3 linked regions of the Caenorhabditis elegans genome follow. The main gene of each other region encodes a partner of the protein of the gene in region 3 in a complex. Each region holds a gene or a part of one and is shown on either strand. Other genes may lie near its edges.

Region 1 (9,325 bases), on a different chromosome or scaffold from region 3:
TGTCATCCATTGTTCAACTAACCGTAAGCTAAATCGTCAGAAGCAGTCGCGTTCCGGCAAGCTGATTCACAAGCCTCTTTCGATTGGAATCGATTGGAGTTGCCGTCGCATCCCTAAAATTGTTTTATTCATTTTAATTGAACGTTTTTCCAAGAAGTATACTATTCTGTTAAATTCAACGAGAAATTTCCGTTTGTGAGAAGATAAGGTATATTCCTAGCATCAGCTCAAGCACAAGCTAAGAATATACCGTAAGTATGGCCCTTAGCCTGGGCATAAGCCTAACCTTAGCCTATGACAAAACCTAAGCCTAACTAGGGAACCATCAGAAGGTGCCCATCAGACTTGCATATGAAACCTATGCCATTCGATAGCCCATGTCTTAAAACGGTTACTCGTGAATTTTTAGCTGCGAATCTCCAGAACCAAGGTCACTGCGAGCTCTCAAAGATTCTAAAATAGCACTATAACGAAGCACTGTAACGATGAAAAGAAGCAATTTTCCAAATTCACTTTGGTAGCCTATATCTCCGTGGATATATTTTTTACAGAAAAGTCATCAACTAAAAATTTTTTTGATAAAAACTTGTAGTTGAAAGTTTTTATCAAAAAAATTGTTGTTTCAGATTTAACTAAAAACTTGTTCTTTACAACAATATCAACAACTTTTTAGTTGATGACTTTTCTGTAAAAAATTTATCGGCGGAGATATGAGCTACCAAAGTGAATTTGGAAAATTGACCTTTCAAAGCTTCGTTACAGTGCTATTTTAAGATCTTTGAGAGCTCGCCGTGAGCTTGGTTCTGGAGATTCGCAGCTAAAAATTCACGAGTAACCGTTTTAAGACATGGGTTATCGAATGGCATAGGTCTCATATGCAAGTCCGATGGGCACCTTCTGACGGTTCCCTAGTAAGCCTCCTCCGAGACTAAAAATTTTGGAGTGACCTTCTATTAAGGTCCTCTTTCAATTATAATAGGTTTCATTCGGAAGTCCGAGGACGAGCTGAAAGGCTTCCCTTGTCAGCCTAACTCTAAACCAAAGCTTAAGCCTAAACCTAAACCTAATATAGGTAGTATGCTAAAGGACTACTGGAAAAAACAGTACCTGATAGAAAAATGGCTGACATGTGCGGGTATTCTTGTGGAAATAAAATGAGCGGGCTCCCTGCTGACCACATCCAGAATTTCCAGTATCGCGAGCGGAAAAACAATCTGTCTGCTGTTGAGCAAAGCAAAATGTTATGAAAATGGTGGAAATCGTAATTGCAGTTAGCATTGTCTGAAAAAATACAATTTTTTTTACCCGTTAATGATCAATGAGAGTGGAATAATATTACTAGCCAATGCCAATTAAAAGCAGAAACCAAAAAGAAAACTTCAATTCTCGAATGATCTTTTCCTATTTTATACTCAAATTCCTAGCAATATTTACTTAAGAATCTTCGTCCCACCTACATAACTAAGATTTGGCAAATATCAAAAGTTTGGTCAACAGGAAAATGTTCAAAATTGAGTTGGTGGTTAACAAATAACCTACACATTCTCCCGAAAAAGAATTCATTAAAGATCAATGGGCACGATTGAAAACATGGCAAAGTTTTATTGAAAAATGAAAAACAGGCAAATATTTGGCTGAAATCGCTCAGTTTTCAGAAAATATCCACACTTTGACTGAAAATGGTGTAGGAATTGATGTAATAACAAGAGACAACAATCGATGTGGTTCCGTTTTTACAAATCGAATTGTTGATAACAAAGAAAATAAGGGAGCGTTTTGAAAATGAAGGAACTGGTTTTTCGATTGTACGAGATACAATAGTTCTTGACACAGACACCTACAATTTGTTGATAACGAAGGATAGACGCATCGGGTTGATGATTAAACAAATTTGAAGGAAGTACACGAAATTTCAAAAATTTAAAGGTGGAGTAGCGTCAATGGGGATTTTGTCTAAATACGCTTATTATGATTTCAAACGACCGAATATCATAATAAAACTACAAAAATTTTTAGATTTTCCCTAATTTCGGTCAAAGTTTTGGCACATTACCAAAATTTTGACAAATATGAGCTTTTGAGGACATCCAAAGCAATGTCGCATATTCCGGTCTTTACAATGATTCAACAAAAATAATTGAAACAAAATTACAGTATAAAAAATGTAGGAAAAATAATTTTTTTTGGTCGACTTCCAAAATTATGAGTGGCAAAAACTGAATATTGAACACTTTTTGACAGTGAATAAAAATTTTTCAAAAAAGTTTTGAAAAGTTTTATTATGATTATTTGTCACTTTGGCACCATAGGAGTATTTTTTAACACTTACTCCATTGGCCCTACTCCACCTTTAATAATTTTCAGATTTCCTAATTTTCTAGATTGCATGCTAATTTTTACAATTACTAGTTCAATGTTTCTTAATCTGATTTCGGTTTAATGCAACTATTATCATACGCCAGGAAATCGAATGTACCGTACGTATAATCAATGTAACTGATGTGATTTTTCATAATTTTTTCCTAAAATTGTTTTTCAAAATTTTTTCAAAAATTGCTATGGAAAAAACTATTTTCAAAAGACCGACCTGTGGACCGACTGTACCGTATTTCCTCTATTAGTCTTGCACTCCTACAGACTAATTGAAAATCAGTCTTACAGCCTGTAATAGTCTAGCACCCCACTTTTTGTCATATTAGCAGAACTTTGTGGAAACGTAAGCAAATTTATCATTTTTGGAGTAAATCAAATGTAAAATCGTTCAAATAATTGATGTAATATTGGGAAAGTATGTATTTTTCATTGTTTGAACGGTCAAAATTGTATCACTTTCCAAAGTTCGAAAAATAGTTTTCAGTCTCTATTAGTCTTGCACCCCTAAAGACCAATTGAAAATTAGTCTCGCATGCAAGACTAATAGCGAAAATACGGTAAATGCAGAGTTGTTGTCTTTCTTAATTTATTTTTATTTTTATTTATTTGAATATTAGTTGTTATATGGACGTCCTTTTCTTTCTCAATACATATGCATATACAAATATTAACTTTCCGTTCTTCTTTCCTATTCCCATACATTTATATGTATCCCAAAGCCTTCTCTCTCCCCCACACACACCATTTATCTGCACCATCCTCTTTTCACCCAATCTCTCATTTGTCGTAAACTCTCCTTCCAACTCTACGTCTCTTATTGTTCCCAACACTCTCTCACTTTTTCAACACTGACGACGGCTGTTTTACACTATCTGCTGGCCTGGATGGGGACTTTTGTGTTGCTCTACGGAAAGAATCCTCCCACACAATATTTTTACTGCTATTTGAACATTGAATTATCGATTTTTCAAATTTAAATTTAAGTGCTTAAAGAGGAAATGTTCCAAAACAGAGTTTCATAATGAGACTTCAAAATTTTTTTAACTTATCAATATCTAATTGTACTTTATTTTTTATTATGAATCAACAAATATTTACCCCTTAATAATTTTAAACTTTTCAGCAATAACCATGTCAACACTTGGTCGTAGTAAGACCCCATCTCGTGACGAACCAAAAAAGCCTGGAGTCTTTGAGAAACTCTCTGGTACCCTTTCTCGAAAGAAGAAGGCGCCGGAAGATGAGCATGGAAACCAAGGGGGTGCACATCATGCTACTGATGAAGATGAAGTTTTGGAGGTTAGTTTTGCAAATTAATGGTTTTAGCAAATATAGATTTTTCAGCTTGAACTTGAAGGTCGTGAGGCTCTCGATCAGTCATTGGTCCCAGTTCTTGCAAGAAACATCTGGTTGGAAGAAGGTAAACGGTTTCACCAATATATTTATCCAATATATTTTTTTCCAGGAGAAATTCGTCGTTATCTGACTAAGGAAACAGCCCGCGATCAGAAGTTGGCACAAGTTGTCGATTTGCTGATCTACTGGCTTAATGAAGAGCTAGCTGATCAAAGAATTGTCGTTCGTCACTTGCAAGAAGATCTTTTCGATGGTCAAATCATCCAGAAGCTGTTGGAAAAGTTGGAGCAGATTCGAGTAAGTTATTGGTACAATTTCACAAATTGAATAAATTCTCCACTCACAGTTTTGTTACAGATCGAGGTTCCAGAAGTTTCGCAGTCAGAAGAAGGACAACGTCAAAAACTGCAAATTGTAGTTCAAACAGCCAATCGAATTCTCGGACAGCCAAGAGAACAAGAGAAATGGTCTGCGGATCTTATTCATCAAAAGGTACGCAAATCTTTGTCTGAATTGTTCATTTCTATCAGTCTTACATTTCATTGTGCAGATGTTTGACGCACTGTAGACAAAAGAGTTTCTCACTCGAAGCTGTTCCAAAAACTACCGTATATTCTATATTAGTATGATATGTTAATCTGTGGACACCTCCGCCACACAATACTATTCATCATTTACTATATATAAAGCGCTTATTCTGTGTGTCCATAGTTTGTAGTCTATGTAGTCTTTGTAGTCTGTGAAGTTTTGGCTTCTTGGGATAGTGAGTTGGGGTTAGTGTAGGGATATAGTCGAAGTACTGTATTGGCACAATAGTGGTACGGTAGGAATACTGTAGTTTCAGAAAAAATCAGTTTTCACCCCCAGGTCCACGGCTGGTAATCTATATAGAAATTCGTGAACTGCAATACTAATTTTCGAGGTGGTTTTTGGATGCAAAACTTATTGAGAATATACGATAGTTGAACGCAACAGTACTTTTCGAATAAACAGAGTTACTTTCCATATTTTATATTTTCTCATAAAAGAATATTCCCAGGACTTCACTGCCATCATCCAGCTCCTGGTGCTTCTTGCTCTTCACTACCGTGCTCCAGTTCGATTCCCAGATAACGTGGTTGCTAACGTTGTGGTGGCTCAAAAGGAACATGGTCAAGTGAAGACCCATCGAATTACTGAGCAAATCACTACAGTTCAAACTGAGTTGGCACCGAAGGGCACTCGTGACGCATTTGATACGCTTTTCGATTATGGACCCGATAAGTTGGCTCATGTGAAGACATCTTTGTTGGCTTTTTGTAATAAGCATTTGAATAAAATTAATCTGGAAGTAAGTTTATTCACTTCATTGTGCTACAAAGAAGCTGATATTTGTAAATTTTTAGGTGTCTGATTTGGATAATCAATTCCAGGACGGAGTTTTCTTAGTTCTCCTAGTGGGACTTCTTGAAGGTTATTTCGTCCCGCTTTACCATTTTAATCTCCAAGTTCAAAGCCACGAGGAGAAAGTAAAAAATGTGCAATTTGCGTTCAAACTTATGGAAGACACTGGCCTTGAGAAGCCTAGATCTCGTGTTCAGGATATTGCCAATGGAGATGTTAAGGTTTGTAGTTTTGACAATTTACAGAAAAATATACCATTTTCCTAATTTAATTCAATTTACAATCCTCAATTTTAAATAGTGCAAAATTTTAAGGGATTGAAATCAAAGTGTAATCGCGCTTCAGCCGGAAATGAAAATGTCCCGCCTCCTTTAATTGGGTCTCGTTAGGTATCGCCATTTGGTTGAAGCGCGATTACATTCGCAGTTGTCGAATTTTCTTTTCACGACGATTCAGCAATCCCGAAGAATTTTAAACAAGTGGCAAAAACAAATTTTCTGCTCATATCTGATGCGATGGATTTTCTATATACAATCCTAATTCATTCTTTATTGCAGAGCACTCTCCGTCTTCTCCATTTGCTTTTCACTAAGTACAAACATATCTAATCTGAGAACTTCATTCGTCATCCTAATCAAACGACACCGTCCAATAATTTGTGTCTGGCTCAACAACTATGGTGCTTTAATTTTGTTAAAATTGCATTTATGTCAATAAATCTTTTAATTTTTAGACTTAGCACTATATTAAATTAAAGAAATTGGCAAATTCCGAAAAAAAAACTCTATTTGAACTCCCTCGTAAAGGAGATTTGCAATGGGGCGCGTTTGCATTAATAAAATTTAATGCATTTTCTCATCGATTCTTTTATTCTTGTTTCTTTATTTTAATTAATATGAATTGATTGTATATAAAATTGTATTTATTTTACAGAAAATGCCTCTTCCACCAGCTCTTCTCGCTCGACTTCAAAAAAGGGGAATTGTAAAGCAAGAAGAAGAGGTTATCGCTGAAAACTATGAAAAAGAGCCAGAAAAGAAAAGTTTCGAAGAGAATTCGGCAGGAGCACCTGGTTGTCCAAATAAATGGAATCAATATCACGTTTGCCTCGAATTTTGCTATGATCATTGGGGCGATGGAACTCCGGAATATCGGTTTGTTTTGAATTTTAGCGAAAAATTAATTAAAAATCGTTTTTTTTTGCAGGTTGCCCGAGAGATATGTGCAGAACAAAAACAGAATGCTTGCAAAGTTTCCACTTCCCGAAAATTGGGTTGAAGTCTATGATGAGGGACTTGCGAAGTATTATTTCTGGAATAAAACAACAGATGAGGTGAGAAGCAGAATAATTTTCTGATTTTAATTGGTTTTTTTCAGGTTTGTTGGTACTCGCCTCGTCATCCACGAGCTATTATCAGTGATCCAGCTCCTCGAATCGCCAGAGAGCATGCTACAGTGCTTTTTGGAGATTCTCACGCATCTGAGGTAGAATTTGAAGCTGAAATCGTACTTAATGGGTATCGCCGCCGGAAAAAAGTAGCTTGTACTTTTATTTTTGCTATTTTCAACAGTTTGCTCAAGAAATTCTAGAAAAAAACTTTCATGGACAAAACGCGGCGAGACTCATTTATAAGGATCCGAGCGCCTTTAAATACGAATTTCCGAACATTTATTCTTTAAAACTATGTACTTTTTCCAGGAGGACAATGCCGCCCGCCGCAGAAATTTCCACAACAAGAAAACTTCACGCGGAGGGAATGATGATAAGCAATCACGTGGCAATAATGCTGAAAAGCGGAAGCGACGTGATCCGATGACGTCACAGGGTCCAGATTCAGATGAAGACGAGTTACAGGAAATGACAAATAAGGATAGACTGAAAAGAGCAAAAAGGAAAGGAATTGATCCAATGGATCCAGCAGCTTATGGAGATGCTCCAGTGTAAGCTTTTTTTTCTAAAATTCTGTTTCTGAAGCGAAAAAATTAGAATTTTCAAGAAATTGGATTCAAAAATTCAAAAATTTCGAGAAACATAAATAAAATCTCAAATTTAAAATCTCCAACTTCTCCGTTTTTCAGCGGTCTAATTTTAGCTAAATTTATAGTTTTTCTTCAGAAAATTATAATTTTCCATTTGAAATTTGGGGAATACGGTAGCTTCAAAAGTACGCAACCCGAAAATACAACGTTTCCGGCGAAATGTCGATATGAAAAAATTATGAAAAATAATATTTGAGCGAAAAAATTTGATTTTTATATGATATTTCAGTGGAAAATGGTCGGATGGTCTTCGAGTTGATCAGGTGACTGGAGCCGACGTGACTGCTGGTGGACCACTTTTCCAACAAAGACCCTATCCTGCTCCGGGAGCAATTCTCAGAAAGCAGAAACCACAGGATGAAGAGGACGATCAATAATTCAATTTTATTGTTTTAATTTTTGATTATTTTAATTCAAAATTCCTACTCCACTTCCTTCCAAAAGTTCTGTCATTTCCTACTATTTATTTGTTCTGTTTTGTACCGTTGTACCTGTATCTTTTTCTTTTTCTATGCACATAAATGTGCTCAGACATCTGAATTTTTCTCTGTGCTTCTCCAAAACATTTCCATAAATTCATCAACTGTTTCTATGCATTAAATAAAACGTACAATAGAAAAAAAGCAGCAATGGAGAGATAAACTGAGAAGATGGTAGTAATTGAAATATTACAGGAACACTAAATGCTGAGAATGCGTATCGCACAACATATTTGACGCGCAAAAGATCTCATAGCGAAAACTACAGTAGTTCTTTAAAAGATATACTGTAGCGTTTGTGTCGATTTTTGAAATGATTTAATTTTTCTTAATTCTAATATTCTATCGATAAAAAATTATTAAAATTCATTTCGAAAAGCGATCCCGTAAATCGACACAAGCGCTACAGTATATCTTTAAAGAACTACTGTAGTTTTCACGAGATATTTTGCGCGTCAAATATATATATGTTTTTCGATACGCATTCTCAGAATATTGTTTTGAGCTGGAAATATTCTTGAATGTGCCTGATATTGATAGGCTTGTAAGTGCTAACACTCTTCTTTATAACCACAAAAAAGCATTTGAGAAAAAACGACAAAACTTATTACTTGGCCTAATAAAATAGTTAATCGTAAATTAGAATTACATTCTACTGATTCTATGTTGTTATTTTCGTTGATCTTTCACTTTTATGTCTCTCTCAATGTGGAATCCTAGTTTCTTGTGTGTTACCTTCTTCCCCTTATCAATCACCTAAATCGGAGAAAGAGGTCAGCGCCCTCATTTTTTTCATCCGTTTTTCGATTTTCTCCATTTCATTTGATCAGTTTGTTGAGTACACTCCCTAAAGTTTTCCTTATATTTCTTGTTTTCAATACTTATTATTGCAGAATGGAACCGTCCAACATATGGCGGACGTCTACCATCGTTGGTAGTGTTGTTTCAACATTTGCAGTTCTTACAGTAATCATTGGACTTCCACTGATGCATAATCATGTTCAGAAAGTAACAACTCTGATGTTAACAGAGGTAGAGTTGTGTAAGGTGAGAATATTGATGCTTTGCCAGGAATAAGCCTAGATATTAAGACCGAGTCTCAAGACATCTGGAAACAAATGAAATTCTCTCGCATGGCACCAAACCGTACCAAACGTCAGTCTCCATACGGTAACTATGGAGCTTCAGGGTCAGGATCCTGCTGTGCTTGTACTCAAGGATCACCTGGACCACGTGGACAGCCAGGAGACGACGGAGAACCTGGACGTGACGGTTTCCCGGGCAGAGAAGGTGACAATGGTATAGCTGGAAAGTATCTACCAGCTCCACCACCAGGAACCAACGCATGTCAGAAATGTCCAACTGGAGCTCCAGGACCACCAGGACTTCCAGGTAAATTTGAATTGCATCAGGAAATAAATTTAAAAATTTGATTCAGGACCAAAAGGACCACGTGGACCAGCAGGAATTGAGGGTAAACCAGGGAGACTCGGTGAAGACAATCGTCCAGGACCCCCAGGACCGCCAGGAGTACGTGGAGAACCTGGATCACCGGGAGAGAAGGGACCAACCGGCGATCGTGGAAAAGTATTGAATGGAGCACCACCAGGTCCTACTGGCCCACCTGGAAAGGTCGGTCCACGTGGATTGTCTGGCGGAAAAGGACACGATGGTAAACCAGGACTTGGTGGGCA
Region 2 (12,856 bases), on a different chromosome or scaffold from region 3:
TTTAAATGTGTTAACTAAAATATTTGACAAATTATATGAGGTGCCTACAAAAGTTATATCATTCAGCAGATCAAATGTTCCAAATTCTTCCATAATCAGTACAAAATACCCGAATATTCAGTTCATCTCTCATGGGGCATCATCTCAATTTTTTAGTCAAGAAAAAAGGAACCCCTCTCTTTCTTTTCTCAACGTTTTTTGATTCAAAGTGTTACATCCATCTTCTTTCAAAACTAAAGCAATCGTCGACATAGTGTACACTACTTCGGGTCTTTCACCACAATCCATAGTTTTGATTTAACATTGCAGAAGTTTAGGAAAACATTTTTTGGCTGTGTTTTTGCAAACAATCGAGTTGCTGAAGGAACTGTAGATTTATCGAATTATTTAGTTTTGCAAAGTGAATGGTATTTGTTTTTAAAAAATTATTTGTTTTTCGAAAACCTAGTAGCATACCATGCCAACTTCCTCCTTTTTCATGTCAACGAGATCTGATAGTGAGTAGCACTTTATAAAGCTTACTGTTAAGCTTTTGCAACGTTCTATCTAGCTTTGAGAACTTTTTGACAGTTTTTCTCAACTTTCTGTCGAACATTGTTGCTCTTTAATTCCGAATGTTTTATTATTAGTTACTTTCTCTACAACAACTCTTAACCCTGTTTCTAAGTTCCGCATTGTCAAAATTGTACAATTTCTTGTTCAAAAGGTGTTTCGAAATCGAAAACGTCGGGAAAACACACAGGGGTCCCTTTTCTCATATACTTTCCCCGGTTGATCCAACGTCTCTACGATCTAAGAAGAGAAAAAAAGAAAGAGAGATGGTAAGAGGGAACGTAGGCGTCTGGTGTTAGAGCATCGCGGTCATCCAAGTGATCTGCCGAGTCGAAGAGCCCTCGGGAAGAGAGCCCAATAAACAGTGTGTAGCAATGCGAGAGAGTATGAGCAGGCAGAATATCAACGATGTAAAGAAGGCAACTGCTTCTTCTTCTGCTGCTCCTGCCATCTCGCATCCTCCCCCGTGTGCCGTCGTCCCGTAGAGCACTTTATCCAGTCTCTCAACTTTCCGTTTTCTCTTCTTTTTATGATTTTTGATATTGATCTCATTGAATTTTTCTACAATTTTGCATATCGAGTTGTGAAATCTCAAAAAGTGGGAACTCATTATTTAAAAAAAAAACACAATAGCTACAGTAACCGTAGCTTCGTAGATTTTTTTCTCAGGGGATTAAAGCTTTTTAAAAAATTATTTAGGAGAATCTTTTTAGAGGACTGTACAATCGAACAGTTCTCAACATAAATCGACAACATAATTTGCTCAGTTCTGAGTGAAGAAATCATACGTAAAACTTGAAGTTTTAAGGTTCTTCGTAGGCCCTTATTTACGTCTATTATTCAAACCCTTCTTGACATTTTTTTCCAATAATAATAGGCTATCCCGCTGTTTTCTGAATTAAAAAGTATCAAGTAATCATCAAATGTTTTTCAAAAATCAAATAAAATATTGTGTAAAAACCAAGCTCTTATCTGATTTCAGACAAAAATTTGGCATTTCTATACTAAATTATAAATCCATCTAAAAAATTCCAACACCCAGCTTCTTCAGTAATTTTCCTGCAAAGAGTATATTGTTCATTTTCGACACTCTGAATATTCTCTGTCTCACCGAATGTCTCACATTCTTCTTTCAACAAAAAAAATTGTTCTCGCTCGAATGCATCATTGAGAATTCACTACCAACGGCGAGACCCCTATTCTTTCTTCAAAAAGTGTGCTCCATGAGCACCTGCACCACCTGCTCTTGGGATTCTTTGATTTATTATTCCTGGATTTGGAAATGAAATTTCTGGAAATTGTTTTATTGACTAAGATCGTATAATTCGCACAATTAAGTACTTTATTATAATAGTAAAATGCTTGGTTTTAACATTGATACCTTTGTGCGTCGCCGATTTGAATTCTATAAATGTTCGACTTTCCTATGATTGCAATTCTTGACAATCAAAAAGAATGATCGGTAATAAATATTTAATTGTTTTAGGTTGTAATGAAACGGTAATGTTCACCATGTATTAGTTGAAAAGCTATTATGAAGATTATTAATCTTTATAGAAGGGATTATGATTTTTTTGTTGCTTAGTTAGTCAACGTTACTTTTCACAAATGACCCATCAATTTAAGATTCTTTTTTCAAAACCTACCTCCTAATTTAACTTCCCTTAAATCTTGTCGACATCTTTTTTTTCCAAAAATTCATTTTCCTCCTAACCACCCAATTAATTCATCCTCCCCCCGTTCCCTCAATTTATCACTTGTTCCTCTCTATTCAAAACATGACCTTTTTGTCGGAGAGGGAACAGTCACCAGTCAACCATATCTTGGATTCTACTGACAATTACTTCATGCCCACATCCCAATACTCTCTATTACATGAACTTTTCACCAATATATAAAATGTTGTTCGTATACTGATGGGCTTCAAGTAGGCGTGATTTTTAAAACACATACTACAAATATTGGAGAAAGTGCCGTATTTGTTCTATTAGTATTGGTGCAATACGTTTTTGACCACAATATTTATGTACTTGAATTAACTAGATTTCACTGTGAAAACTGAAACTTTAAAAACTTTAAAATCTGTGGCAACTTATTGTCGAATTTTGGCAGGAAGTTTCCCTGATATTCCAAGTAGGTTCAAAAATTGAATTCAATTATCAAATTTTGGTCTGGTCAGATTGAACGTCTACTATTATAATAATTTTGCAAGTTTTTCAAAATATTAGAAAATCTCTTTGGTGTTTCAAAAATAGTAACTGCATATCTACTTGATTCCAAACTAATTGCTTCTCGTGTCCCCAAATAAGTGGTGCCTCTTCCTCCGCCCCCTTCCATCCTCCCAATTTCATCCTCAATTCATGCTTCCATCAATGTCTACGTCTCTTCGTCTCTCACACTCTCTCACCATTAGACATATGTTTGATAACTATCCGGAAACTGAAGAAACTATGTGTCCCTTCCTCCCTTCTCTATTTCAAACGACTCTTGACTCATCGTATTTTTCGGAAATTCATGGGATAACTATGAGTCTCCAGATGCCAGTTTTGTTTCGGAATTTCCTTTTTGTACGTTTTTCACAAACTTCGAATTTCTGATTTTTAACTCGTAGTCCAGCCAATATTCTGAATATTTTGAGGGTTCTCCGGTAATTTTAAAGATTTTCGAATGAGTACAACTCAAAAGCTAGAGGTTCCAGCAAACAACTTTCAACAGTCAAAACATTTTGAAATAGTTCAATTGAGCATTTGAGAAAATATTGTTGTTGGCTCTCGCTCAATACACAACAAATATTGAGATTTATGCAAAATTCGAATTGCTCCTTACTTTGCTTCTTCATCAATCTTGCTCCACGTGTCACGGGTCATTTTGTTCCCCCGTTAATTTCCGTTCGCTCACTTCTCCTGTTCGTTCAATTCATTTCTTGATATGTTCATGACTCAATGTGAGTGTGTCAAATGCTCGTAGAGCTCCCTTCTCAATTATAAATGACTTGTCGTCTTCGGAGGGTCAGTTCTTTGTTTCGCAATCGCGTGTGCTCTGTTCAATTCCATTTTTCCTTCCTTCCGGTTTTTGGAAAAGACACCGATTAGGCTTCATTGATCCACATGTTAACTGAGAATTTGAAATTATCTCAGTGAAATTGGTCGCTACTTTGAATTTAATTCATTTAGACATGAAAAACGTTCCAAAATTAAAATTCAAGCAAAGTTCTTTATTTTCCCTTTCAAAAATATTTCTTGGAACTTTTGAATTTGAGATTTTGAAATTTTTTTTCTATTCAATCAACTTCTAAAATCGTTTCATCTTCCGTATACTCGTTGCAAACTTCTTTCTGATTGTTTTCAAAAAACCGAATTCCAAATTTCCAGTAGATGCGAGAGGGTAGTTTTCCGCGAAGGATCGGCTTGCTTCTAGGCTTACTGGGCCTTTTAGCCGGAGTTGCCACCTTCAACATCGACACAAAAAATGTAGTGGTTCATCACATGGCTGGTAACTACTTTGGATACTCACTCGATTTTTACCATGAGCAGAAGGGAATGCCTGTGTAAGTTATTGAATTAACTGAACAGATTTTACATTCAAAAATTTCAGCCTCGTTGTCGGTGCCCCTGAAGCTGAAAGCAATAACCCAAACCTGGCTGGAATCCGAAGACCTGGAGCAGTTTATGCTTGCTCCGTGAACCGGGCAACATGCCGAGAAGTCCACGTGGATAAAATGAAGGGAAACTTGAAGAAACTCAATGGATCACATCTTGTTCCAATTGAAGAAAAATCACATCAATTCTTTGGTGCAACTGTTCGATCAAATGATAAGCATGATAAAATTGTGGTAGGTTTATTCTGCGGAGTTTGAAAATTAAAAATTAAATTTCCAGGTGTGTGCTCCAAAATACACATATTTCTACTCAAAATTCGAAGTTATTGAGCCAGTTGGAACCTGTTTCTATGCTGAAAATGGATTTGATAATGCGGAGGAGTTTTCATCGTGCAAACAAGAACGTATGTTTTGGGGATACTTAATTGGTACTGCAGGGGTACTGTAGTTTTGGAAAAAGGAGTTCGAGAAAAGAAAGTTCTGGGAAGTTCTAGAAACTTCTGAAAATTTTGAGGAATTGCAGGAATATTTTAATAGTTTGAAAAGTTTCTGCAACCCTCAAGACACTGTTAAAAACGTCTTAAAATTTTGAGATTTTTTTGGAAAATTCTAGAAACTTCTAGAGGCTCCTGAAAAAAATCTGAAAATTGTTGAACCTTTTGGAATAGTTCAGAGTTCGAACAATTGGTAACTTTATAAAAAATTAGATGAAAAATTACAGCTGCTCGCCACGGTCGTCATCGTCTTGGATACGGTCAGTGCGGATTCTCGGCTGCAGTTCCAGGAAAGAAGAATCAAAATCGTGTTTTTATTGGAGCCCCCGGTGTGTGGTATTGGCAAGGAGCAATGTTCTCACAGAACATCAAAAATCAGACAGACCGCCCGAATACCGAGTACGGTAGCAAGGAATACGATCACGATATGATGGGATATTCTACAGCAACTGGAGATTTTGATGGAGATGGTATTGATGATATTGTTGCCGGAGTTCCACGTGGAAACGATTTGCACGGAAAATTGGTGTTATACACGTCGAAACTGAAGATGATGATCAATTTGACTGATGAGGTGTCAACTCAACATGGACAATATTGTGGAGGATCTGTTGCAGTTGCTGATGTAAATAAAGATGGGTAAGTGAGATTCACAAACACATAAAATTACAATTCTCTAAATATTCTCTGTATTAATTTCAGACGCGACGACATTATCATGGGCTGCCCATTCTACACAGATTACGGTAGCGTGAAAGACGCAAAAACACAAGAAAGAAAACCACAATACGATGTCGGAAAGGTCATTGTGATGCTTCAAACTGCTCCAGGAGTCTTTGGAAAACAGATTGCAGTTGTTGGAGATGATCAGTGGGGACGATTTGGACACGCAGTCGCAGCAGCTGGAGACTTGAATTTGGATGGTTATAATGGTAGGGATTTTGCTACTAAAAATGAACGAATTTGAATTTCTCACAGAAATTATTTTACGCGGAAATTCAAATTTAGTTTTCGTATTTTCACTTTTCTTTTTCTTAATTTAACAATTTCTTTAGACATAAAAAATCCTAGATTATCGGAAATTTGTGCGGCATTTTGAACTTTCAATCTCATTTGAACCGCTATGGAAATTTATTGCATTTTTTGTTGGAAATTTTAAATTACAAAATAGTGTTTTTCAGATGTAATTGTTGGTGCACCATATGCTGGAAAAAACAAACAAGGAGCTGTTTATGTGATCCACGGATCCAAAGATGGTGTTCGCGAACTACCAACTCAGAAGATCGAAGGAGCCAATATTGGTCATGGAAATATCAAATCATTTGGCTTCTCCCTTACTGGAAACGAAGATGTTGATGGAAATGGAATGCCAGACATTGCAGTTGGAGCATGGAAATCTGGAAATGCAGCTGTTTTACTCACAAAACCAGTTGTCACTGTCACGGGACAAACTGAACCAGAGAGTGCATTGATCAGTGTAGAAGATAAGAATTGCGATGTTGATGGAAAATTGGGAAAACAGGCATGCAAACATATTAATACATGTTTCAAATATGAAGGAAAAGGAGATACACCAAATGATTTGGAATTTGATCTTCGATTCAATCTTGATGATCATTCTCCTGAACCAAGAGCTTATTTCTTGCAAAAAGATGTGGTAGGTCACTTTTTTAAAACTAGATAAAAATTTTTAACACAATAATAATATTTCAGAAATCTGACAGAAGCATTAAAGTTGCACAAGGATCTAAAACAAGAGACCATCCATCTTCAATCGAACAACGTGTTCGTCTTGAGAAGGGACGACAAAAGTGTTTCAGACATCGATTCTTTGCTTCTTCCACAATGAAGTGAGTTTTCAGAGAAAATATTTTGATTTTCTTTCAAAGTTTTTCAACTCAAAATGACCACAACTTTTTAAATTTTTTTATCAGAAAAAATTGAGAAAATGTTTGCTCTGCTGTGAAAAAAAGTTCAAGGCTAATTTTTGAATGTAAAATAGTTCGTATGCTTTGCAAACCTTCAAATTAGAAAATAAAATGTTTTCTAAAAATCAAAAATAAAATAATTTCAGAGACAAGCTCTCCCCAATTCATTGGTCCGTCAACTACACATATGTTGAATCAAAAACCGGAAAACTTCGTGGTGATAAGCTTGAACCAGCAATTGACACAACTGTACCACTTTCATTCCAAAATAAGATTAATATTGCAAATAATTGTGGAAAAGATGATCTTTGTGTTCCTGATTTGAAGGTTACCGCTGTTGCGTAAGTTTTTTTAATTTTCAAAATGATCGATAAAAAGTGTTGAAAAAATACATTAAATATGCCATTTTTTCATTGAATATAAAAGAAAGGGAAACATTGAAAATCCTCATTACAGTAAGTTTGAAAAATTATTGAAAAAATGGGTTTGTCTCGAAATGTTTTAATCATTACTCTAATTTTAAAATTTTCAAAAAAATATAAGGAAATGAGCGAGAAAAATTGAATATAACACAAAATACAATGTAACCTAACTCGACAATTTTCAAAACATTTTTTATAATGAGACAAGTTCACAGCCATTTTTAAAATGTTTGCTTCAGGATTTTCCTGTCAAAATAATTCCACGAAGATTGTATGTTTCTTTTCTTCACGGAATCGGCGAAATTTTCAGTGAAATCATATCATTAAAATAATTATTCCTAAACCTATAAACCAAATGCCAGCAATTAAATTCTTTTAAACATATTTTTTCAGTGATCGTGAGAAATTCCTTTTGGGAACTCAAGACAATACAATGCTTATCAATGTAACAGTTCAAAATGGAGGAGAAGATTCATATGAGACAAAACTTTATTTCGATGTTCCACAAGGATTCGAATACGGTGGAATTGAAAGTGTTGGTGGAGATGGAAGCAAGTCTGCTCCAGCTTGTTCTCCAACTTCCGATGAACCAGATTCGGATGGAAAATGGACTTTTGCATGTGATCTCGGCAATCCACTTCCAGCTAACAAAGTAGTTAGTAGTGTTGTAAGAGTGACTGCTTCTTCTGATAAACCTCCACTTGCTCCAATCAGTATTAATGCTCATGTGAACAGTAGTAATGATGAAGAAGCTCATACTGTTGCTGATAATAAAGTCACATTCACTATTCCAGTTGATTTTAAGAATCAATTGAGTTTGAATGGTAGATCAAATCCCGAACAAGTCGATTTCTCAATGACGAACAAAACACGTGTAGATGCTTTCGATGACAATGAAATTGGTCCAGTTGTTTCACATCTTTATCAAATCAGTAATCGTGGTCCATCTGAGGTTGACTCAGCTACTTTGGATATCTTCTGGCCATCATTTTCCACTGAAGGAGGTCATCTTCTGTACATTATCACAGAACCAGTTGTTAATCCACCAAATAAAGGAAGATGTCGGGTCAAACAACTGCAAAATGTTAATCCATTGAATTTGAGGGTACGTTTGAATAATTTTTAAATTTCTAGACATTACTTTAAAGGTACACGCTGTTTTTCTGAGTGGGTCTTGCCACGATCTCATAGTCGTTGCAAATCCCCAATTTCTGTAGACACTGAATTTTATAACTCTGTACATTTAAAATTGCAGTGAAATACGGAAGGAACTATTTTGTTTTAGAAATAGAAGTAAGAAACTTTATCATTTTTAGGATAAAATTCAAATTTCTTGGGAAATTTTGAAGAATTGTTTTCGTCAGTTTCTGAAATGTTTAGAATCGGCGAGTTAAAAAAAAATATTGGAAACAATCGAATATGCTGAAATATCACAAAAAAAATTGATTTTCCGGTTCGGGCTGACAAACTTCACTTTTTTCAATTCAGAATCCTGAACATCTTATTTTATAAATGTTCACAAAAAATTACTGTCGCACATTAAAAACGAATTAAAATTTCAGATAACAAATGAGCATGTTCCAACTGAACCACCAGTTGCCAAGACACCAAATGAATATTCAAGAGAAGAAGATGATGAATCATATGAAGATGAAACAACAACTCAATCCCAATCAACACGTCATCAATCTACACAACATCAAACTCATCATCAATCTGGTCCAGTACATGTATACGAAAAAGACGAGGAGAAGATTCGTCAGAATACTGGAAATTGGCAATATGTTGAGGATAAAAAGAAGAAGGGAGATTATGAATATATTCCAGACGATCAGGAATATGATGGAGATGATTTTGAAGAGGAAGATGATGAAGATTTTGATAGAGCTGGAAGTAAGAGAGTTAAAAGAAATCCAACACCAAAGAAGAAGAAGAAGGGAGGAGAACACCGTGGTGAACCAAGAAGTGATAAGGCTAGATTCTCTGATCTTCGTGAAGCTGTTAAACTTTCGAAGGAAGCTGGAGGAGTTGTTGATTATAAGGGACCACTATCAAGAGCATCTGTTGATTGTAATTCATTGAGATGTACACATATTGAATGTGATATTTATGATCTTAAAGAAGACGAGTTTGTACTTGTGGAAATCTTCTCTAGATTATACACAAACACATTGGTTGATGAGAAAAATCCTGGAGGAGACATTTCATCGTTGGCTCTTGCTCGTGTCACATCTACTAAATACAATCTTCCACATAAGCCAACATTGATAACAGCAGTATCTACAAATATGAATGCAATTGCTTCTGAAGAAGGAAGAGATCTTCCTTGGTGGCTTTATCTTTTGGCTATTCTTATTGGACTTGCCATTTTGATTCTTCTTATTTTACTGCTCTGGAGGGTGAGTTTCAAATTTAATTTTCAAAAATACGATTTATTACATAACAACATAGATATTGGCTTGCAAGTTAAATTAAAGTTCTTTCGCCAACTTTCATGCTTACTTGTGACGCAGCAAAAATTATATCTTAATTTCCAATTTTGTGAAGCGGTTTCTCAAAGCCTCATTGATTTATTCGGATGGGCCTCGCCGCGAGAAAAGTTTATGGTTCAAACTCTGCCATTTTCGAAAGGTAAAAAATGATTGTCACAAAGATTAAGAAAAACTGAATTTAAAAGAAGTTGCCTACGACATTAAAGCTGTGCTCACACGCTTTCGAAAATTTCACAGCAACGTCCACGGCGAGCTTACGTCGGGGGTACTGTAGAATATAGGTAGATCAGAGCGACTACAGTATACAACCAATTTCGAAACAAATTTACAGTTTCCCTCAGAAAATAAATAATAATAATCTAATTTTCAGTGTGGTTTCTTCAAACGTAATCGTCCACCAACTGAGCATGCAGAACTCCGTGCCGACCGTCAACCAAATGCTCAATACGCTGATAGTCAATCCCGTTATACATCACAAGATCAGTACAATCAGGGACGTCACGGACAAATGCTATAATATTTTCCATTTTTTGTTCCTTATTCTTTACTATTCACATCTGCGGGTGTCTTTTTAAAATTATCATTTTGGTCCCAATTTAGTCCTCTTGTCGTGCCTTGCCCCCCAATCTTACTTTCATGTTCGATCGTTTTTCGGAATCTCCGCTCAATTTGGTGCTTTATATGTTCATATTATGTTTCTTTGTTTTCCAATTAATTACCAATACATTGACATGTTTCTAGTCGATATTTTTGATGTTTTTTCTTTTATTATCATCAATTTATTAATAAAAATTTAATAAATAAATAAATATTTAAAACGCGTCTAAAACAATAAATTTTGGAATTTCATCAAACCCGACCAACAAAAAAACGGAATAAATATTATGACAAAACTAGGTATCATTGGTTTTCTTTTTTCGAATCATCTCAGCCAATTGCTTGAATCTGACCATCACTTGTTTCTTCGTTTTGCTTCCAATTTCTTCGGAGATTCTTTCCCACCTGAAATTTAATATTTAAAACATTCCTCTGGATATTATATTATGGGGACCCAGAAATTTTACCGTCAATACCTAACGAAACCCAACGCTTGGAGGATGAGCGTTCTCAATTTCAAAATACCCATTTCTAGTTTCCAAGCTAACCTTTCATCAGTTCCCTTTGGATATTTCTGCAATGCGGTTTCAAAAGCCTTCTGCTCAGCTTGACTCCAATCATCTTCTGATTTCTCTTCAACTGGTACTGATTGTTGAATAGTTGTCATCAACAATTTCGTATAATCCTCTTGCTTCATCTGTTTCATTTTTCCAGCCATTGCAATAACGTCTTCTGCACTTCTATTCAAAACTCGACCCATTTGTTCCCAACGATTCGGTGTTCCAGCCGGGTATTTTTCAGTGCTCAGTCGAACCAGACTAGCTAATTCATCAGGCGTCCATGTTGCTCCAGATTGTTCTGAAATTAAAAGATCATTGAGTAGAGTTCAGAAACCTTTTTTCTGATAAATTAACTTACTCTGTGCTACAACTTCATTTTCTGCTGCATACTTTTTCTCCATCTCAGGATCATTTGTGGAAACTGCTTTCATACCTTGAGCCACTTCAAATTTAAACTCTAGTTGCTGGGGTGCCGCTGCTGCTCTTTGTTGCCTTCTCTGTTGAGCCAACTCCTCTTCTGTTGGTTCTTCAGGTTCAACTTCTTTAGGTGTCATAGCATCTTTAGCAGTCAATGCCAAGTTTTTGAAGAGGGTTACTGTACCTCTAGCAAGAATAATTGGAAGAAGTTCTGAATATTTTGGAAGATACTCTTCAAGTGCTTGTTTCATCAATTTTTCTGCTTCCGCTGGATCTTCTTTTTTCGATTTTCGCGATTTTTTCACATTTTGTTTGTAGACAAGAGTTTTCTCGAAATATGCCGCCCACATCATCAGGTAATGAGCGATAGTTCCGATAAAAAGAAGCACAAGGATTCCTTCATACCATGCAAGTTTTCGCATTCGTCTGGAAAAAATTATTTATAAAACACTATTTTAAAAAAATCCGAATTATTTCAGTTAACCATGTGATATGGAATATGGTGGAATGGGAAGGAAAATATTTTGGTATTTCTGCCAATTTTTAAGACTAACACATTGCATTTTATTTCTGAATTTGATCAGATTTAAGATTGTCACGCAACTTTTATTGGGCAAACCTAGTTACTTTTTTTTTGAAACCATCGCAAAACGTATAATAGCAATGGGGATTTTTTTAAACTATTTATATGATTAATTGGAAAACTCATTCAAATTTTAAGAATATATTTACAGTCAAAAAGCATAATTTTTTAAGAAAAACAATAACAATCTTATGTAGTTTTCTCGTATTTTTCTGTACATTTTTTTTCCAATTTTCAAAAATAAAAACCACTATGTGAATTCCCTCACCTATAGTAATACATAGGATGCCTCCACGAAGGTAACCCATTTTCCAGAACATTATCATATTTTTCACGAAGTTCTGTAGTCTTCAAAACTTCATAGATTCCAGCAACTTGACGAAACTTTTCCGTAGCATCAGGCGCAGAATTCCTATCCGGATGCCATTCAAGTGTCAATTTTCGATATGCTTTCTTTACTTGATTCGACGAGGCATCTCGTGGAATATCGAACCACTCGTAGAAATTAACTCCGACTTCTTCCACTAAATCATATAGAGCCAAATCTTCTGATGTCCATTGACATTCTGTTAAGGATATTAGGAAGGCAAGGAGAAGGATGACCCGCATTCTGCAATAAATATTTCAGAAAATTCAACCAAATTTTTTTAATCTATAAAAATTAGAGATTTAAACGATTTACGTATACATTTTTATTATTGGACCAACAAAAAATAATAAATAACAAAGTTTTTTATTTGGTTTTACGAAATTTTGAAGCGAAGACAATTAAATTTTAAAGTGGCTTCATTAAACAAAAAATAATAAACTCTGAAAGAAGTGAGTGAAGAGATCGGCGAGGTAAAGTCAGGTGCACAGGCGATTTGTTCATCTTGTGCTCATTTCCCAAATTTGAATTTAATCGGAGCCCGAGAGTTGCCTGATTTGTTCAATATCGCCTGCTGCTCATTCTTTTTCATGTCCGATTTCTGACGTGCAAGTTCAGCACGATCTCGTTCCAATTGGCTCTTTTGCTCAAGCATTGCCAAACGATCTTCCTCCTGAAATGAATAACTGTTAAATTAGGTCGAAGTGCGGAAATTTGATTTAATTTAAACTAATAAAATCTAAAATTGATTGTGACTCGCGTTGAAGATGAAGATGATATCCTTGCACAAATACCTGCTAGACGGGGGGCCGAATCATCAGCGACGACATGTCCTTTCGTTTGTTG
Region 3 (8,858 bases):
TAGTAGGGATTTTACATCAAATTGTTCAATATAGCCCAATATGTACAGTGCCAGCCAATATTCTGTTTGTTGTCTATTGTGCACAAATTTGCTTGAGTTCTTCAGACACGTATAGCTCAAATACCATGATAGTTAGCAGAATATTTTCAAATAACAAAAGCTTGTCGATAATTTTTTTTTAATTCTTGTTAGTACCAAAAATACATGATGCTATTTCGGAAAAACTTACAACAGTTGACATGCGGCGGGTCTCATTTCTAATTGAATAATAATTGACTAAAAAATTCAGAAAAAAAAATCCAAGCAAGTCACCGTAAAACCGAACCTATAAGTTGTATTATGGTGCGAAAAATCGAAGCTGGTTAAAAACTTGCCATTTATCAGTTACAGCCTCATTCTCTTTTCCAGCTGTTGTCGCATATGCTGTCACAATGGCAATGGGACAGGAGTTTGCCACAAAGCACAGATATCGAATCGATTCCAATCAGGAACTTCTAGCCCTCGGCTTTATCAATATTGGATCTTCGTTTTTCTCGGTGTTTCCAACATCAGCCTCATTTTCGAGAACCCTTGTTAACGAAAGAAGTGGAGCTAAAACCCAACTATCTGGAATAACGAGTGCTTGCTTCATGGCACTTGTGATTACAACAATCGGTCCTTATCTAGCATCACTTCCAAGTTGTATTCTGTCAGCAATTGTAATTGTTGTCCTAGAATCTATGTTGAGAAAGTGCACAGTACTACCAGGACTTTGGAGGTGTTCCAAACATGACTTCGTAGGTTTTTAATCACTTAAAATAACCCAAAATAATTTTTAAACCAAAATAATTTCAGTGGATTTGGATCATTACTGCTGTTGTGACTCTAAGTTCCGATATTGCGCAAGGGGTAGCTGCTGGAATTTTCACGGCAATTTTTACAATTGCAATACAATCTCAGCAGTGAGTTTGTAGATTTAACACGCAAAATTGACATAGCTTTTCGACATTTTTCAGACCTACGATTAAACTTCTTGGGCAAATCCGACCAAATGATTTTAGACCAATGAATCACTATAGCTTGGCAAAGGTAAATTTAATTTCCCTCTGACAACTTTTTTCCAAAAACTTATTTTTCAAGGAAACATCGTTCCGAATCATTAGATTTGATGCACCACTGATTTTCGCAAACGTTGAGAAGTTTCTCGATAACGTTCGCGATTCGACATCAGCCACCACAAAAAAGAGAAGCGCGAGTTGCGATTCCCAAGAGGATATTGAGTGGAGTGCAATCATTCTTGACTGCCACACTTGGATTTATACGGATTCTATGGGGATTGCTGCGGTGAAGCAAATTAATGAAGAATTACGACAAATTCGTATACTCCTGTTGTTTGCAAATCTGAAGTGTGAGTTTAAAATTTTTAAACAATTATAACCTTAGCTGGGATATTTCAGCATCACTCCGACGACAATATGGAAATGCTGGCCTGATTGGAGAAGGGAATATTGGAAGAAATCAAATGTATCCCTCCATTCAAGATGCGCTGGATTCTGCTCACGAATTAATTAAAAATCATAAAATGTTTTTTGATTGCGAGAAAAGTATGCCGCCAGAAAAGATTGTGCCTTAGAATACATAGATCATTATTTATCAGTTTTATCAATTGATCAACTTGTTAATCATATGGGTCATAATATGTGTAATTATTGGGTCAATATTTGAAATTTTTGTTAAACTTGCTCATGCTTCAAGTTTTCAATAAAGTTACCGTAAATTGAGGTTTGATTTTAGATTTTTAAACTAATTAGATATTTGTCAATAAATAAAATTTGGAAAAAGATGGAATAACATCTATGGATTCTTTGGTCTCAATGACTGGAAAAAAGTTGCACTATAATAAGCACAACAGTTTAAAAAATCATTGAATTTTTCTGAATTTTTTAATTAATTGTTAAATTTTGCAACAAAAAAAAATAGAAAGTATTGAATTATTTTCCCATACCCGCGTAACTAAATTACCTAATTTTGATATGTTTGTTTTTTACAGTTGTGTCAGTTTTTTGTCCTTTTTTGTGATTTTTGAGTAATAACAGAATCTTACAAAATTTTAGACTTTTCCACAAAAAAAAACCAAAAAAAAAATTGATAAAAAAGAAGAATTTTGTTGGAAATTCTTCAAATAATCGATAATTGAAAATTTATTTTTTAACGAAATTAACTTCTTGGAAACTGAATTTTTTTTGTCATTTTGAATTTAAAAAAAAATCATCGACTCTATTTCATCTTTATGTAAAATGATCAAACAGAGTTTGCTGAGCAAAAAAACGATGAAAGTCGTTTTTTGTTGGAATAGCCCAATTTTTCTTTCACATTTTGAAGCTTCAACAAATAAATTCCCAAGAGAATTTCAAGTGCAATACGATCATTTCTACTGGCTCATTCGTATTTTTAGAAATTTCACAAACATTTTGACACTGGAAAGTATAATTCTCACTTAACACGTTTCAAGTTGAACCAAAAATATCTCTCCGGGCGCTATGGACTCACCTTCCTGTTGATCACTGATTACAAATTGATTGTTGATGCCGAAAAAAAGGATTCAATATTACAATACGATTTTGTTTCAATACAGTCAATATTTTTTTTCTGAACAAAAAAATAGTACAAAAATTCAGAAATCAAGTTATGCAATAATGACACCCGAGAAAAGATGCAAAGTTTTTGCGGATAGGAACACAAAAAATTTGGTCGAAAGTTATGATTGTTTTCAGAAGGCTTCTGAATCAAAAAGTAGCTGGGAAAGGGAAGGGGAAGGACAATTATGGAGCTAGAAATGAGTACAATGACATTTTTGTGTGACCGAAAAATAGTTTTGAAATATAAGGCATTTAAAAGACAAAACGGATTGATAACAATTTTCACGATGTTTTTTTTTAGCACCAAGGTATTAAAAACAATGGGAAAGAGAAATGAGCAATGGCATTTGGAAAGTATTACTTCTTTAATGGAAATTGATGAATTACGGGGACTCCTTTATTTCTTTCTTTTTTATTATTTTGGTCCAGGACTCATCGATCTTCTTTGATTTTCAACGTCGCGGTCCTTTAAGCTTTCTGAGATGCGCTTTTTCAATTCTGTGGGGAACCGATCGTAACATCGTTTGCATGTTGGTTTCATATCGAATTCATAGAATTTCGTTCTGCAATGCATACATTAATTTGTTTTCATCAAGTTCATATGAATAGTTTTGCACTCACTTCTGATCAAGTTTCTTATCACAAAAACTGCAGGAGAAACATTTGACACACCACGTTTTCTGAAGAGCTTGGAATACTTCCCCGCAACATGGATCTCCGCATTTGAAACAAAGATTTCCGAATAACTGCAACAAACTTATTAATGTTTGCTTGTTCATATTTCAAGTACCTTGTGGAAGTGCTGTTCGCAATATGGAAGTCCCTTTCTCTCGTAGTGACGATGTCCCAAGAATGGCTTCTCACAGACGGAACAGACAAAGTGCTCCACGTGCCAGTGCTTGCCGAGTGCCGCGATGACACGCTCTTCAATCGGCCTGTGACATGCTCCACAAATTGGGATACCCATGGTATCGTGGCATCTGAGACAGTAGAGCTCTCCGTTTACTTCACGAGAAGCTGTCGTTAATTCATTGCTGAAAATTTTTTAAATTCAACTCATACTGTAAAACAAGATAAATTCTTACTTGCAACGTTTGCACTTAAAGTGATAAGGATGGAATGAATCTCCACGGAATTTGATGTGTTGTCCATCATCAATCATTGCGTGGCATTTGTGGCACACATATCGTCCATGACCTGCTGCCTTTTCCCGTTCGTTACATTCGCGACAGAGAGCTCTGAAAATTGAAATTCTTTCGAGCTTCGTTTACGCTCTCCAACTTACCGTCCAGCGTTCCGTAAAAATCCGACATCGGCCAACTGTTTATTGCAAATCTCACAACAGAAACATCCCGGATGCCAGCTGGCATTCATTGCTTTAATCACTCGTCCAACGATGAACTCGTCTAGAATATAAAACATTTATGGCTCTGCGTGTCTTCTCAAAGATACTTACTGCATTTTCCACAACATGGTGAGAACAGAACATGGAAGTCATGCTCGCAGTACTTTCGTCCTTCATACTCAAAGTAGATGCCGTCTGGGAATGGCTCAAAGCATTGAGCACATCTAAAAATTTTTTTGCAATTTTTGAGTTCTCTTAATTCTAACTTATAAAAACTTACACAAAACACTCCGAATGCCATACTTGCCCGGAAGAGTTCACCATCTGATCTTGCATCGAAAAACCATCATTACAACGGACGCACACCATGTTCTCGAAGCCATGGGCGAGATCCCCGTTGATATGGTTGTGGTCGGAATCCATTCCGCCACACACCATCTATTATTGAACCACTGAAAGTTGGCCACTATGCACACAGGATGGTTTAACGACCATGGGTTTGTAAGGAAAAAGGTGGGGGTAGGAAAGAAGAAAAGAAAGCGAGCGAGTAATATGAAGACAAATATGTACAAACAAGGGAAAGCCGGAGAAAGCATATAGTGTGTATAGGTTAGGTATGTTGGTTAATCGAAAAGAGCACAAAAAGTCAGAATTTCATATCTACATTTTGTTATATGCAAAGTAAATTTTTGCATAAACACAGAAATTTCCATATTCTAAGAATCGTAAAAACACTGGAGGTATTATACGAGGGGGCTGTGAAACAGTAGAAAAGAAGAAATCCTCAAGGAAGAGGCAAATGTGCCAAAGGTATAGGATGCGACGGGTTGACATATGTGTAAGAAGAACTCGGAGGCGGTGGCGTGGAAGCTTTTGCCATTGCATTTTGTGTAAAGAATGAAAACGAACCAAGAGATAGAGATATAAGTGAACAACAAAAGTATGTGTGTGAGTGCTGCTGCACAACAGATTCAACAGGATGCCTCAGCTTCCCTGACTAACTCACAGAGGGAGACGTGTATCCGATGTGTTGATGATCAGTATTGATTGGGAACAGAAAAAAGATTCTTCAGAAACATCGGTTGGGATATCGTGTGTTTAAATGGGAAAAAATTCGAACTAGTTATTTCGATTTTTTTTTGACTTTCTATGTACTACTCTACATAACAAAATTCAGTGAAGCGGCACATTTCACGCTTCAAAATGTGATACATGTATTACACCAGATGTTTTGAGATGCAACGGAGGAAAGCAACAATGCTTCTTTTGTGGTGTTTGCATTTAAAAATAAAACTAGTTGTAAAAATGAAACCAAAAATTCAATACAACTTCTATACGGCTAAACTATAAAGTTTTGAATTATATTTAAACATAGTAATAGTTATAAACAACACCTTAAAAATGATAATAGTTGTTGAAAATCAACTTTCCTCACACAGTGATATGGGCATTTACTGGGCAAAAAGAAAGTGCGCAGAATGTACAACTAAAAAGAGTGGAAGAAAGCGAGAGGCAATGCGCGCGCGGCGGGTTGGCCGACAGCCAAGCGGGGGGTCACAGACTACGGCCGCAGACGTAACGACTCCGGGAAGAGTGCGCGATTCGAAGAGACGCATACAATCGGGTTGCGTGCGTAGGGTCACATTAATAGCCAAGTATTGCTGCTCGTTGATACTCGGAACAGGCAGGAACAAGCTTTTTCTAACACATGTTTATAGACAGTTGTGAGAATAAGAAAGGATCATCAGTTTAGATATGAGAAATCAAAAGACATGGTTGAAAAGTACGAACCCCGCAAATGTTGGCAGATAAATGTTCAGTATCTGACCTTCGTTTGTGTTTTTATATTCTTACGACTGGCCTTGATCATGAGCTAGTATCATATATCAGGATGACAAAAATCCAGAAATTGTAGCTTGAAAACAATGACTAACTTTGAAATGATGACATTATAGAATGAGGTCCTCTGCCAGTAGAAATGCCTCCACCTGCCAAACAGCTGTGCGCAGTGTTGAGAAATACCACCGCTTTTTCTAGAAGATCGTAAACCGATAACAGAGGTTTTTGGACCGACTTTTTTCGGAGCAGTGTATAAATTCTAAACTGAGTATTTTATTACACAAATCTATAAGTTTCAAAGTGAGTTTCTACAAAATGAACCAGTGTGGCATGTTCTCAAAATTTTTTAATTGAAACTCAGTGATATCGAAAAATCTTTAGCTTGTCTAAAAATATTTTTAATTTCAGTTGGAACAATTTAAAAAGTGCTCACAATTAATCCGAAAGTTAAAACATCAAATGAAAAATCTTTCAAAAATGTCCTATTTTCCCAACTAAAAAAATCTTATTTTCAGAGAAAGTAAGTAGTTTTCCATATTCTGAATTTCCATAAAAAAGTTTGTGAGCACATGCCAAACTGGCTCATTTTATAAAATAGTTGGTCTACAGTTGCCACGAATGTCTGGTGTTCATCATCCACATTTGAAAATGTTAGAAAAATATTTGTGTAGATCACAATTTTTCAATTTCCTTTTCTTGAAGTTTTTCGTTTCATAGTTTTATAGCATCTTCCTGTTAGTGAAAACTAGCTTGAAAGGGAAAACTAAACATTGAATTGTCTACACAAACTTTTTAAAATTTCTTTTAAAAAAATCAAATATGGATACTGGACACGGATCAAAACCGTTTCAAAAAAAATATGTGTGAAAAATATCATGCGCACTAAAAGGAGCACTTTCAGCAGTTCCATTCGACTTTTTTTTTTGATATATTACTTTTATTCATAAAACAAGACAAGGGATTCAAGAGATCAGATAATTTTTAATGTTCAGCACATTTGATTAAAAAATGACAGAAATGAAATATGACAACAATAGTAATGCATCAGCGTTGAATTGGAATAATAGGATAAAATTGAAAGAAACAAAAAGAATCACACAGACAGGGAGGGGAGCCGGAGCAGATCAAGATGATGTACTATCGTCTTTTTCAGCACGATCTTCTTTTTCATTTCCTGCCCAAAGTGGTTTGACCAGTGCGGAAAGATTACGGTCCATTTCGTTAAAGTTATACCGTTCCTTGATCGGCTTGCCTATCGGATCAGAAGTGCTGAAAAATTTACAATTGGAAACGTAATTGAATTGAATAACGTAATAACAATAGGAACTTATTTTTGAAACTAAATTTAGTATTTTAAACTGACTGGAGAAATTTTCCAAATAAGTTCCTTTTTTTGAAAAAAATGTGCTCAAACTCACTGTGATGTGCAGAAAGAAGCGGAAAGCGGAGAAGAAGATGCAAGTATAACTAGTAGTTGAAATTTCGGCGAGCCAATGCTTCCGCTTTAATTGAAGCCGCCGAAACGACGGACTCCCTCGAATCTGTAGAGTTCATGCTTTCTTGACTTCCCATCACTTTTCCATGCTTCGGATCTGCTGGATCTTCTTCTCGTGCTATTGGCGCCTTCCGTACTCCAAATCTTGCAACGAACTTTTTCCGCATCTCATCTTCAACTCTTACTGTCGCATTTGAATCGGTACTTCCTAGGCTTTGAATACTCTGTCCATCACTGGATGCAGCCATTATAGTTTTGGAAACCACATTTGATGGAGTCTGCGTGAAGAACTCAGTTCGAGCCATTTTATTTTTTGCGGACGGGGATTGAGGAATGATTAATGATTGTGGTTGCGAAGGTGCATCACCCGTTGTTACATTTTCATATATACTTCTCTGCGTTGCAGTTTGACGCAGAACACCACCAGTCGGAGGGCTCAGCTTGTGTTCTCCAGCAACTTCTTTCTGTGGATGTTGTTGTGGAAGCTTCTGAAGTTGTTGCAAAAGTTGCTGTTGGTGTAAAGCTTGAGCTTGACGATTGAGTATCGCCTCCTCATAAGAGAAATTCATGTGGGATGCTTCTGGCGGCGGTTCAAAGTATCCGCTTGCAGATCGTGGAAGATTATAGTTTAGGAGCAAACTGCTCGAAGCCGAATCGTCGCCATGTAATTTACCCATCGATCCCATCATCGCCCTATCAAACCATTCATACCCCGCCATATTTTGCATCTGTGTTTGCATGTTAGGATCGGTTTCAAGGAAACTGTGCTCATTTCTCAAGTAGATATCAGCACCCTCTACATCCTCGGCGTAATAACTGTTTTGAGAGAGGGTGTCTTCTTCTTCCTCTTCATTCTCTTCTTCCTCTGATTCATTATCATACTCAATATCTCCATCTTCTCTGTATTGCATCTCACGCCTAAAGTCGTATCCTTGAGCAGCAAGAAGTGCCAATCGTTCTTGTTCTTCAAAATCATCCAAATCATCATCATCATATATGTCTACATGCTCTTGTCGGATCTGTTGGCTTGGACTTTGCTGCAACATTGTCAGCTTTTTCTTCATTTTCGCTTGACTCGGCTTTGACATTTCATCATCGCTCATAATTGCAGCATCGTCTTCACTAGAAGTGTAAACACTGCTGTTTCGTTCAATCTCGTGAGTTTGAACTCGGTCATTGAAAGTCACGGATTTGAATGAACCGCGAGACAGTTCAGACATACTTGAGTCTCTTCGATCTCCGATTGTCTTTCTTCTGGGTTCACTCTTTTTCAAAGACTCGGCTTTCAATTTTCTAACCGAAGAATGAGTAGTTCCGGATGGTGGGCGCCCTTCGGGTTTTGATTCTTTGTCTGCTTCTTCATCTCTAGAAGATTCTTTTTTCCGTTTTGAGGACTCCTTTTGAGCATCTTCGAATTCTTTCGAGACTGAATCTTCTGATTTATTTGGAGCCGAATTTTTGTGAGCAGTTTCTTGTTTCGATGATTTAGAAGTTTTATCTTTTGAAACCATTGTTAAAGTAATTGTTGCTGCTGCTTTTTCTTTTTTCTTTTCTATAGTCT

What was found.
Region 1: unc-97 (region 3) and pat-6 share a complex: the UniProt entries of both Caenorhabditis elegans proteins name them as parts of the integrin containing attachment complex.
Region 2: unc-97 (region 3) and pat-2 share a complex: the UniProt entries of both Caenorhabditis elegans proteins name them as parts of the integrin containing attachment complex.

Annotation. Positions count from the first base shown.
Region 1 is NC_003282.8:258,404-267,728, reverse strand, and holds pat-6 (Paralyzed arrest at two-fold protein 6), read left to right. Parts: upstream 1-3,496; 5' UTR 3,497-3,504; coding exon 3,505-3,672; intron 3,673-3,717; coding exon 3,718-3,793; intron 3,794-3,838; coding exon 3,839-4,026; intron 4,027-4,086; coding exon 4,087-4,221; intron 4,222-4,768; coding exon 4,769-5,059; intron 5,060-5,114; coding exon 5,115-5,333; intron 5,334-5,669; coding exon 5,670-5,720; 3' UTR 5,721-5,843; downstream 5,844-9,325. Other genes in the region: T21D12.12 (BPTI/Kunitz inhibitor domain-containing protein), read right to left, coding at 23-113, 1,108-1,278; pqbp-1.1 (WW domain-containing protein), read left to right, coding at 6,049-6,266, 6,319-6,445, 6,490-6,597, 6,812-7,053, 7,382-7,529; dpy-9 (Nematode cuticle collagen N-terminal domain-containing protein), read left to right, coding at 8,526-8,678, 8,723-9,023, 9,070-9,325. UniProt on the Caenorhabditis elegans protein: Involved in the regulation of cell adhesion and cytoskeleton organization. Component of an integrin containing attachment complex, which is required for muscle development and maintenance.
Region 2 is NC_003281.10:8,814,976-8,827,831, forward strand, and holds pat-2 (Integrin alpha pat-2), read left to right. Parts: upstream 1-3,923; 5' UTR 3,924-3,926; coding exon 3,927-4,099; intron 4,100-4,146; coding exon 4,147-4,384; intron 4,385-4,430; coding exon 4,431-4,554; intron 4,555-4,871; coding exon 4,872-5,283; intron 5,284-5,346; coding exon 5,347-5,576; intron 5,577-5,825; coding exon 5,826-6,301; intron 6,302-6,357; coding exon 6,358-6,494; intron 6,495-6,586; exon of another isoform or gene 6,587-6,678; intron 6,679-6,718; coding exon 6,719-6,913; intron 6,914-7,387; coding exon 7,388-8,099; intron 8,100-8,556; coding exon 8,557-9,393; intron 9,394-9,856; coding exon 9,857-10,003; 3' UTR 10,004-10,299; downstream 10,300-12,856. Other genes in the region: F54F2.9 (DnaJ homolog subfamily C member 1), read right to left, coding at 10,380-10,488, 10,632-10,941, 11,002-11,486, 11,912-12,252; F44E2.3 (uncharacterized protein), read right to left, coding at 12,522-12,683. UniProt on the Caenorhabditis elegans protein: Required for muscle development probably through the regulation of the actin-myosin cytoskeleton. Component of an integrin containing attachment complex, which is required for muscle maintenance.
Region 3 is NC_003284.9:5,588,690-5,597,547, reverse strand, and holds unc-97 (LIM domain-containing protein unc-97), read right to left. Parts: upstream 4,416-8,858; 5' UTR 4,387-4,415; coding exon 4,244-4,386; intron 4,188-4,243; coding exon 4,075-4,187; intron 4,025-4,074; coding exon 3,904-4,024; intron 3,857-3,903; coding exon 3,704-3,856; intron 3,653-3,703; coding exon 3,409-3,652; intron 3,365-3,408; coding exon 3,240-3,364; intron 3,182-3,239; coding exon 3,034-3,181; 3' UTR 2,583-3,033; downstream 1-2,582. Other genes in the region: sulp-2 (STAS domain-containing protein), read left to right, coding at 409-776, 835-941, 996-1,068, 1,120-1,387, 1,437-1,612; mec-2 (Band 7 domain-containing protein), read right to left, coding at 7,270-8,858. UniProt on the Caenorhabditis elegans protein: Component of an integrin containing attachment complex, which is required for muscle development and maintenance. Probably function in adherens junction.